Linked DNA regions of Alligator mississippiensis. Each later gene encodes a partner of the first gene's protein in a complex. Links are inferred from orthologs where the notes say so. Each region holds a gene or a part of one and is shown on either strand. Other genes may lie near its edges. The genes, in order: TIMM10B, TIMM10 and AGK.

Region 1 (2,664 bases):
CAGAGCACGGCCTCCCGGTGCCACGCGCCCAGCGCCAGCGCCTCGGCCCCCTGCCCCGGCTGCACGTGCAGCACGCCGAAGGGCGAGAAGACGTAGTGCTGCGGGGCCGCCCTCGCCTTGGGCACCGCGGCCAGGCTGTACGGCCTGCGGGCGACAGCACGGCTAGGAGGGGGCGCCCCGGCGAGGGCGGCGTCGTGCCCGTCACCCCGGGGAGCCGTTGGGGGGGGGGTGCAGCCCCCGGGAGCCGTGACCCAGCCCCGCCCGTTACCGGTAGTGGCGGCCAGCGGCGACGTTGAGGTAGGCGACCTCCGTCCTGCCCAGGGGCTTGTCCCGCACCATCGCCTCGGCGGTCTGCACGCCCGTGCGGGGCGGCGCGGCGCGGGGGGAGCCCGGCCGGGGCCTGCAGGGCAGCGCGGCTGTGAGCGCGGGCGCCCCGCGCAGGAGCTGGACACAGGGACCCCCAGGACCCTCCGGGGCGGGGGTGGGGGGCTCACCGCGACGGCCCCGGGCTGCCCGCCCCGTCGGGCGGCTCCATGCGGGCGGATGCGGGGCCGTTAGCGGCGGCGCGGGAGGGGGCGGGGCCAGCGCGAGCCCCGCCCCGTCGAGGCCCCGCCCACACGCCCGCAGCCGACTCGGGGGAGTGGGGGGAAGGGGGACGGTTTATTGCGGCGCCCGCTGCAACACGTTGGTGTCGGTCCCGGTCCCGGTGTCGATCCCGGCGGCGGCCTCGAGGTCGGCGGCGCGGCGCTGCACGAGGGCGGGCATGAGCCGCACGTAGGCGCGCATCAGGCTGTGGTTGGCGCGCACCAGCTTGACCGCGCAGCGCTCCACGCACGAGTCCTGCGGGCAGGAGAGGGGGCGGGGTCAGCGCGAGGGGGCGGGGCCAGCGGGGCGGGGGCGGGGCCGTGCGCCCGCACTCACCTCGGGGTGGGTGAGCGGCCGGCAGTCCATGTCGGCCACGCAGCGCGCGAAGCACAGCTCGGTCATGCGGTTGTAGAGCAGCAGGAAATCCCGCAGCTGCAACGGAGCAAGGGTCGGACCAACGGCTCCCGCCTCCCTTACCCGCCCCATCCTGTCCCCCCTCCACCCCCGGCACTGACACTGCGGAGCTGCTGCTGCTCCGCCGACGGCTCCATGCCCGCGCGCCGCCACTTCCGCCCTCGCTCTGACGCCAACTCCGCCCCTACTTCCGCCCTTCGTCCGCGTCAGGGGGGGACTCCCTTCCGCCCGCGCGCTGGCTTCAGTATGTCGTCACTTCTGTCCGCCTCCCGGCGCCCCCTGCCCGGGCTCTGACGTCTATTCCGCTGTGCGGGGGGGGGCGCCGGAGCCGAGCGGGGATCGGGGCCTCCCGGGGGCACCCGGCGGCGCCGGAGCAGGTGCGGAGCGGCAGCGGGAGCGGGAGCGGGCCCGGGTGGGGGTGGGGACAGGTGCGCAGGGGGCGGGGCCGGCGGGGCGTGGGGGCGGGGCCGGGGACGTGGCCGCGGGCGCGGGGCCAGGATTGGGGCCGGCCGGACGCACCCCCCCGCCCCCCCCAGCCCCAGGATGACGGACGCGCTGCTGGGCAAGGCGGCCACCATGGAGATCCCGATCCACGGCAACGGCGACGCGGGCGGCCTGGCCGAGGACGACGGGCTCGAGCAGGTGCGGGGGGAGGGGAGGGGAGGAGTGGGCCGGGAGGGGCACTGCCGCGGTGGCGCTCACCGCACCCCCCCCCCCCCCCCCCAGGACCTGCAGCAGGTGATGGTGTCGGGGCCCAACCTCAACGAGACCAGCATCGTGTCCGGCGGCTACGGCGGCACGGCCGAGGGCATCATCCCCACGGGCGCCGGCAAAGGTGGGGGCCCGCGGGCGCCGGGGGGTGGGGGTCGAGCTGCCCCGGGGACCCCCGTCAGCCACGCTCTCGCGTCCCCCTCTTCACCCCGCGCTCGCCCCCCCGGCCTGGCCCCCCCTTCCAGGCCGTCCCGCACGGCCTCGCTGGCCCCCGCCACCCTCCGTGTCGCCCAGCGACTCCATCGCCAGCCAGGCCGGCGCGTCCGCAGGTACCGGCCCCCTCCGCCCCCCGCCCCGGACCTCGCCACCCCCCCCGCCCCGGTCCTGCCCCCGCTCACCCCCCCGCCCGCCGCCTTGCAGGCGCCGGCCTGCACCCGCCTCACCCGGGCCCCGCCGCCGCGGGCGAGGAGGTCGTCAGGGGCATCGCCGTGGAGAAGTTCGACATCGTTAAGAAGTGGGGCATCAACACGTACAAGGTGGGTCCCCCCCCTGGGGTGGCCGCGGGGCGGGGGGGGGGCGCCTGTGCGGCAGTGCTGACGCCCCCCGCACCCGCAGTGCACGAAGCAGCTGATCTCGGAGCGGTTCGGGCGCGGGTCGCGCACCGTGGACCTGGAGCTGGAGACGCAGATCGAGCTGCTGCGGGAGACCAAGCGCAAGTACGAGTGCGTGCTGCAGCTGGCGCGCGCCCTCACCAGCCACTTCTACAGCCTGGTGCAGACCCAGCACGCCCTGGGCGACGCCTTCTCCGACCTCAGCCAGAAGTCTCCCGAGCTCCAGGTACGTGGTGGAGCCCGGGGTCCGCGGTCTCCGGGCCCCGCTCCCGTTCCCGCAGCACGGGTGATGGCTGGTGCATGGTGGCGGCTGGGCGGCGTCGGCCTGACCCTGCGCTGTGCC
Region 2 (3,745 bases), on another chromosome or scaffold:
CTCGGCTCTCTCGCCCTAACAATCAAAGGCTAGAGCTAGACAAAGCCAGGCCAGTAAGGCCTTCCCCCTGCTGTTTGCTATCCCTAGCCTCATGCAACCCCCTCTCAGTCTCCTCCAACACAGCCCCTACCCTCACTTGCTGCTACAGCCTTGCTATAGCTGTCCGTACCCCCAAGCCAACCTCAAAATCCCCCTCCCAGGTGCCTGCATAGTCCCCAGTGCAAACAAAAGCTGCTGTACACATAGTTTTTCCTGCCAGCGAATTCTGAGGAAATCATCATGCAGCATCTTCCAGGAAAACCAGACTGAGCCCCAAGAGGACTGAATTGCATGCAGTAAAAATAACTCCTAGCCACTCCCTGGAGGTCACTGGGATTAGAAGCTTCACCCTCAGGCTAAATGGAGCTGCCGTGTAATTAACCACAAATCAGAAACTGGGATGAGAGAAAGGAGGAAAACACCAATTAGGAGCCAGGCTTGTAAAAATATTTACTAAAGCCATGAACTGAAAGCCAAGTGAAACTCCCATGTGCTTTCCCCAGCAGCAGCATGCCCCCTGCTGGCCACACATAGCAGCTACAGCCATCAAGGATTGCAAGGAAATTCTTCAGATTACAGCCAGCAGTTTGCCTCCCCGAACAAAAATGCAGCCATCTCTGGGGGGAGGGGGGAAAAGGACAAGGGTTGCCCAACAGAAAATAGGAACAGGCTCTGTCACAGAGTTTGGAGCTGAAAGTGAAAGGCAAACTGCAGCCAGGAGGGGATTACTCAAATCTGACAGGGGCATGCTGCTCTGTGAGAGTACCATGGAGATTTGATGAGCACAATACCATAGGGAATATACATCCACCTGGAGGCAGTGCCCCCTGCAGCCAATCCATCATGCTATCAAAGGGGTAAAAGAGCTGGGACGAGGGTTCTAGCCCGACCTCCTGCAAGAGGACACTTCATCACAAACTACCCTGGATCAAGCCTTTGCTCCATTAGTCAATAAAGAGACACCACTAGGATAGGATTGGGACCTCATCCCTATTTGGGACAATGCTGCTCACTAGGAGCATCATCTGGGAAGGGCAGAGATAGGACCTCATCCACTCAGCAGGAAACAGCTAAACAGCGAATCTCAGCACAGGATCCCCTTGTTGGAAGGCAGAGGCCCAGTGCTGCTCATACAAAACTATCAAGGCTTTATTGACAGGGGACCCAGGGCTGAATCTAGGCGGCAGTCCAGTGCACTCAGGGCCTATCACACTTGCTGTCCAAAGCTGAAGAGGGATTCTTAAACCGCCCCAGCCCCCTGCTGAATCCGCTTCATCAGCTCCTCATCTTGCATGGAGAGCTCTGTCAATTTCTTGCCCATGCGTTCATGAATGTCCAGGTACTTGGAGACACAGCGGTCCAGGCATACAGACTCCCCTTTGGAGAGCTCAGCCTCCTTGTAGTGGGGGGGGACACACTTCCGGTGGCAGGCATTGGTCATCCTGGGGTACAAAGGAGGGAGACATTATGAGAATCTCTACACGCCCCTGCTCACCAGGCCAGTCTCCTTCACACACAGCACAGCAACCATTCCAGACATTAGTTCTTCCCCCGCCCCGCTCTGTGGATACCTTAAATGGCCACTGCACCTCCCCTGCTACTGCATCCTAGGCTTTCCTTTCCATATGCACACAGCCTTGCTCACACTCCGCAGCCCCATCCCCTTGCCATCACAGATCCATACACCCCACATAGCTCGACCAGTGTATTTCCATCCATTCACAGGCTCTCTGACATTTCAACTCCAGGAACCTGCTCACATACACACAGCTTTGGTGATGCATCCTGCAGGGGCCCCCCAGCAAGGAAATGGACACATGAGATATTCCTGCACTTGAAAGTAGGAGTCCTGTGGCCTGCAACAGCCCACAGGCAGATATTTCCCTCTCTCTTCCTCCCCCCAGGCGCTTAGGAGCACGGAGTAAAGCCCAGAGCCCTGCAGGGGTCTTTGGACGGGGTCATGACCTGTTGTACATGTCAGCCATCATCTCCACCTCCAGCTCCGCTGCCAGCCGCTGCGCCTGCACAGGATCCATCGCCTAAGCTCCGCGTCCCGTGCAGCTGAGGCAGGGCCGGGATCTCCTGGAAAGGCACAAAAACTGTCAGTGCTGCCCCAGCCCCGGGCAGCGCCCAGCTACACCCGAGGCGGCGTCAACGACGACCCCAGCGCACCCGAGGCCGCGGGGACCCCGAGGAGCTGGCGGCGCCTCCCTACGGGGCAGCCCCTGCACCCTCTGCACGGAGCGCGGTCAGACCCCAGCAGGGGAGCAGCCTTGGCACCGTGCTCCCCTCCCGCCTCGGCCGCCCCATGCCCGTGCGCAGGGGCCGGGCGAGGGCAGGAGGCCACCTCCACCCCACCTGCCAGCCGGAACCACGTGGGGCCACCAGCACTTCCGGGAAGGAGGCACCCCCCTCCCCGGCTCAAAGAGCGGGGAGAACGTCATTTCCGGCAGCGCAGCGATTGGGCGGGATCGGGAGGCCCGGCCTGCCAACCACAGAGACGCGCGGGGGCGGGGTTGGGAGGGAGCAGGAGCGGGAGCGGGCACGGGCAGGGGGTGGGACTCCAGGGGCGTGGAGGGCTAGCCGGGAGTGGGGCGGGGCATGTTGCCATGGGGACGCGGGGGCTGGGGTTGACGTGCCTCTGGGGGCCGGGGAGAGCTGGCGGGATGTGCGTGCTGCAAGCCGTCTGGGCCTCGGCGTGGATGTGACCGCTTCACTGAACAGCTGGAAGCATTGTCCTCTGCGAGAGCACACAGCCGTCCCCGCCCTGCGCTCCCCAGCCCCAAAAGCAACCGGGGAGGGAGCCTGCATTTCCTGCAGGGCCCCTGCTCGGAGCAGCCTGGAGGCGCCACGTGCAGCATCTCTCCTCGTGCGGGTCCCCAGGGGCGAGGGGGCGCTTTCCTGCCCTGAGCCGCTCTTGCTCCTCGTGCAAGACGTGGCGGCCGCTGCAGTCCAAGGGCGGCCCCCAGCTGCACGGGGGTGTTGGCAGGGGAGGCAGGTGCTCCGATGTGGTTCAGCGTGATGCTAGGTGATGAGTCGGGGTTGGAGTTTAAGTCAGACAAGCTAGTTGTGTGACTTTGGGGGCAGGAGTTGGCACGACCGGGGGACCCGGGATCACAAGGGTCGTGGATCCCTCGCACAGGCCATGGAAGAAGCACAGCGATGACTTGGACGTCAGGGAGCTAACGAGAGACTTCCCTTATGCTACGGCCGGCAGCACGGCCAGCCTGTCTGCAAATACAGCAAAGAAGTCAGTTTAGCTTAGCATGGCTGTGGGTTGGGAGCAAGGGGCACTGGCAGGGTGGGGGGGAAGGTGCTGTGGCTTTTAGTTTTGTTTTACATTTAATTTCTGAGGCAATAACACTTGTTATTTACTGTAACAGTTACAAAGTGCCTCCCCTCTCCACAATCATATACAGTTGTCCTCTTTAGGACTAATGCCCAAGCTTTCTATGGTCAAGGTTGCTGCCTAGCAGCCTGCTGTGCTCACTCATAGCAGTCCCCAAAAGGTTTCCAGGCTTCCTCAAGCTTTGACTCTGCTCAAGGAGGAGTGACTGGAGAAAGGTTAAGGAAAAGGCTTTATAGTGTTTATGATATGTGGAGGGAAGTGGGTCTTTTCCTTCACTGGACAGATGGTGGCTGGACTTTACCTTCAGCTAAAAGCCTGCAGGCCTGCCCCCTTCATGCCAATAGTCCCTGTTGAGGA
Region 3 (3,745 bases), on another chromosome or scaffold:
GGTATCATTTGCAGGTGGAGACCATACATTTTTATTCACTGCTATAAAACCAGTGCTGATTAACTTATCTGGCCCTGTGGGCTGAACAAGTGGTATGGGGCTGGTTTGTGGGCCAGATCCCGGGTGGGGTCAATGCACAGGGTTGCTCTGCTGGTGTGATTTGTTGCACCATCCCAGTTCTGCACTCCCAGATCTTCTTGCAGAGTGACCCCGTGCACAGGACGCAATTTTGTTGTGGCCCATGTCATCTAACCCACAGGGCTCCTCCATGGGTCTGGAAATCTGCTCTTAGCACTGTCACTGCTTCTCTGCCATCCAATTTCCACACCTAGGGGGAGACGCATAGGCTGGATGGCACCAGTCTGCAGGCTGGAGATTGAGGACCGCTGTAATGCTGTTTGAAATCCCCACCAAATGTCTGCAGACTGGATTTCACTAGCTGGAGCAGAAAATAGATCTCATCTTCCCACCCTCATTTAAATGTGATCTAAGCTACTCTGAGGGCCTGTGCATCTTTTAAGAGGGCCCTCCATGACCTACCCCAAACACGCAACAAAGCAGCTACAGGATGACTAGTAAAGCGACCAAAACGCTGGCTGGCATCCATAGATGCTTCTCAAGCAAATCCCGGGACGTCATTCTCCCCTTGTACTTGGCCTTGGTGAGGCCGCAGCTGGAGTACTGTGTCCAGTTTTGGGCTCCACAATTCAAAAAGGATGTGGAGAAGCTTGAGAGTCCAGAGAAGAGCCACGTGGTCAGGGAGGTCAGAGAAGCAGACCCTACGATGACAGGCTGAGAGCCATGGGGCTCTTTAGCCTGGAAAAGCGCAGGCTCAGGGGTGATCTGATGGCCACCTATAAGTTTATCAGGGGTGACCACCAGTATCTGGGGGAACGTTTGTTCACCAGAGCGCCCCAAGGGATGACGAGGTCGAATGGTCATAAACTACTACAAGCCCGTTTCAGGCTGGACACAAGGAAGAATTTCTTTACTGTCCGAGCCCCCAAGGTCTGGAACAGCCTGCCACTGGAGGTGGTTCAAACGCCTACATTGAACACCTTCAAGATGAAACTGGATGCTTAACTTGCGGGGATCCTATGACCCCAGCTGACTTCCTGCCCTTTGGGCAGGGGGCTGGACTTGATGATCTTCCGAGGTCCCTTCCAGCCCTAATGTCTATGAAATCTCTCTGGAAGTCAGCAGTTACGTTCACCTGCCCTCTCTGGAGTGCAGTTTAGTGGAACAGGAACAGCGATCATCACAAAGAGATTCCCGAGCTTTGAAAAAGCATTGTAAAACAGAAAAGCGTTGGGAACGAGAGATGCTCCAGCGAGGCCAAGCCCGCTCGAACCACGTTAGAAGAAAAGGAAGACCGAGAGAAATAACAGCAACAAGAAGAAAACTCAAGCAGTACACACCGAGACAAGCCCACGAAAAGGGCAATGTCTTAACAGAGAATGGGACCTGCTGTCTGGAAATAGAAGAAGAATATCTCCCTGATCGCTTTAGTTTGTTTGTTGTTGTTGATGTTGTTGTTGTTTTTTAAATGGGCCTGGTGTTTTAAAAAGAAAGCCAAAAATTAATCCCTGCTGGCAGTGTTCAGAGCACGGCAGTGCCCACCCACACTCCCTGTGGCCGAGCTGCTGCAGCTCCTCTCTGAGCACAGGCCACTGGGGGGAAACCTCTTTAGCAAAGGACAGCTTTGCCACTGCCCAGCAGGCTGCCCCCAGCCCCTTTCTATCTCAAGCCTCCCAAACCACCAGCATTTCCCGCCACCCGCTTGCCAGATCTATCTGCCCAATGCCTCCTGTCTCAAGCCTGGGGGAGGGGGCAGAAGGGGGAGGGCATAGTTACCAGTGCTTGCCGTACACCCAGCTTCCTCCCCAGGCGCACAGGCAGACCCCCACCGTGCTTTTCTTCCAGTGGGTCCTGAGGGTCTTAAACATCCCGACCACGCGGGCCATGCTCGGGCCGGGCCGGGCCGGGCCGGGCCACTTCCGCAGGGCACAGCAGGAATCAGGAGGCGGGCTGCTCCTCATCCCTGCGAGGAAGCGAGACCGGACACACGTGACGCACTCCCACACACCCCCCGACACCCCCTCCCCCCAACCAAACACCCCCCACGGCCGGGCAGGGTCCCGCCGGCCCCCGCGACCCACGTGGCAGCCCCCGGCCGAGGCGGCGCGGTGCGGTGCGGTGCGGTACGTCGCGCTCGGCGGCCCGGCTGGAAAGCGGCGCCGCCGCACTGTGGTTCCGGCCGCGGGGGGTGGAGCCGGCTGGGCTCCTGCCCGGCGCCGGACCCAAGACGCTGGGTGAGTGCCTGAGGCCCCCTGTTTCAAGCCGCTGCTGCTTTGACAGGAAAAGCGGTGTTGGGGGTTGTTTCTTCGCACCCTGGCACACCCTGGGCGCAGACGCCCCCACTCCCAGGGCCCCTAGTCCAAGCCGCGCCACAGGCTGGGCCGGCCCTGTCCAACCGGCCCCTGCAAATCCACTGTCCCGGGCAACCCTGACGCAAGTGCCTGGCCCGCTATGGGGACAGGTCCGGCAGCTGCCAGGATTGTTGTAATACAATGGAGAGATCCAAGGAAGACGGCCTCCCCCTCCAGCCTGTGCCAGCGTGAGCTAGGGGGCCATCATAGAGGACAGTCCGGTTGTCCTCTGTTGGTACAAAACCCGATGCCTTTATGTCCTCTGTTCTTCTCTTGAATGGAGAGCTGATTTAGCAAAGACTTTTTTCCATCAGGTTTCTTGAAGAGAAGACATAAAGGTGTTGGGTTTCGTGTCAATAGAGGACAGAGTAGGAGAAAACTGGACCCTCCTCTCCAACTGCCACCTTTAGCAAGAGGATGGGGGGACACATCCGTTCCCGAGCCCACCTCTGCTTTTCTACGATTCTATGAACAAGGGATCGGGAGGCCTGAGATGTGGTCTCAGCCCCAGGGCTGACTCCCTGTGGGACTTCGAGTTACGGGCCGCATCTTGCACTTACTGAGTTGCAACACCCCAGTCTTGTTACATACGTGTTTCCCAATCTGCTCCAGACTCCTTGGTTTGCTGAAATCTCTTTCCAAGGTCTTCCTAACCCAATGTTCATGTCTTGCCAAGTCCCTCAAGCCAAGGTCTGATCCTTGCCCTTGCCACCTGTGTTTATACCCACAAATTCATGTGGCTTCCAAGAGCGCGTCATCCTACAAACCCAATGTGCTGCCCACGATAAATCAGCTCCATGGCTTAGTCATCCAACAGAATGACAAACAGGAGTGTTTTGGAGGGAGTGTGAAGGGCTCTCTTTCTAGGTCCATTTCTGTGCTTAATGCCATTATGGCCAACAATGAAACGGTTGTGACCAGCAACAGGCATGCCTGAAACCTGAAGAGAATTTCCTATAACACTGGTTTTTAACCTGTGGTCTGTGGACCCCTGGGGGTCCGCAGACTGTGTTCTCAACCTGTGGGCCGCATAACATCCTTTGACACATGACAATCAGCACACTGCTGCAGGCCATGTGCATCATAGATTCATAGATTCATAGATGTTAGGGTCGGAAGGGACCTCAATAGATCATCAAGTCCGACCCCCTGCATAAGCAGGAAAGAGTGCTGGGTCTAAATGACCCCAGCTAGATACTCGTCTAACCTCCTTTTGAAGACCCCCAGGGTAGGGGAGAGCACCACCTCCCTTGGGAGCCCGTTCCAGACCTTGGCCACTCGAACTGTGAAGAAGTTCTTCCTAATGTCCAGTCTAA

The links.
Region 2: the proteins of TIMM10B (region 1) and TIMM10 are in contact, whole or in part, in a cryo-EM structure (PDB 7CGP), measured with the Homo sapiens proteins. The link is inferred for Alligator mississippiensis from reciprocal best matches to the Homo sapiens genes TIMM10B and TIMM10. Residues at the interface, in NP_036324.1 of Homo sapiens: Gln7, Leu11, Leu14, Arg15, Phe17, Leu18, Leu19, Tyr21, Asn22, Arg23, Met24, Thr25, Glu26, Cys28, Phe29, Val33, Pro34, Ser35, Leu36, His37, His38, Arg39, Leu41, Glu46, Leu49, His50, Ala53, Gly54, Ile57, His61; in NP_036588.1 of Homo sapiens: Ala6, Leu9, Leu13, Glu16, Met17, Asp20, Met21, Arg24, Ala28, Lys32, Cys50, Asp52, Arg53, Cys54, Ser56, Lys57, Tyr58, Asp60, Ile61, His62, Glu63, Arg64, Met65, Gly66, Lys68, Leu69, Leu72, Asp76.
Region 3: TIMM10B (region 1) and AGK share a complex: the UniProt entries of both Homo sapiens proteins name them as parts of the TIM22 complex. The link is inferred for Alligator mississippiensis from reciprocal best matches to the Homo sapiens genes TIMM10B and AGK.

What each region holds. Positions count from the first base shown.
Region 1 is NC_081824.1:483,432,202-483,434,865, reverse strand, and holds TIMM10B (mitochondrial import inner membrane translocase subunit Tim10 B), read right to left. Parts: upstream 1,241-2,664; 5' UTR 1,137-1,240; coding exon 1,101-1,136; intron 1,018-1,100; coding exon 922-1,017; intron 841-921; coding exon 661-840; 3' UTR 642-660; downstream 1-641. Other genes in the region: DNHD1 (dynein heavy chain domain-containing protein 1), read right to left, coding at 1-144, 269-400, 495-535; ARFIP2 (arfaptin-2), read left to right, coding at 1,543-1,641, 1,726-1,834, 2,131-2,246, 2,326-2,547. UniProt on the Homo sapiens protein: Component of the TIM22 complex, a complex that mediates the import and insertion of multi-pass transmembrane proteins into the mitochondrial inner membrane.
Region 2 is NC_081825.1:172,675,065-172,678,809, reverse strand, and holds the start of TIMM10 (mitochondrial import inner membrane translocase subunit Tim10), read right to left. Parts: upstream 2,477-3,745; 5' UTR 2,398-2,476; intron 2,122-2,397; 5' UTR 2,076-2,121; coding exon 2,005-2,075; intron 1,482-2,004; coding exon 1,280-1,481; 3' UTR 1-1,279.
Region 3 is NC_081827.1:110,420,765-110,424,509, reverse strand, and holds the start of AGK (acylglycerol kinase, mitochondrial), read right to left. Parts: upstream 2,248-3,745; 5' UTR 2,160-2,247; intron 2,042-2,159; 5' UTR 2,040-2,041; coding exon 1,855-2,039; intron 1-1,854. UniProt on the Homo sapiens protein: Lipid kinase that can phosphorylate both monoacylglycerol and diacylglycerol to form lysophosphatidic acid (LPA) and phosphatidic acid (PA), respectively. Does not phosphorylate sphingosine. Phosphorylates ceramide.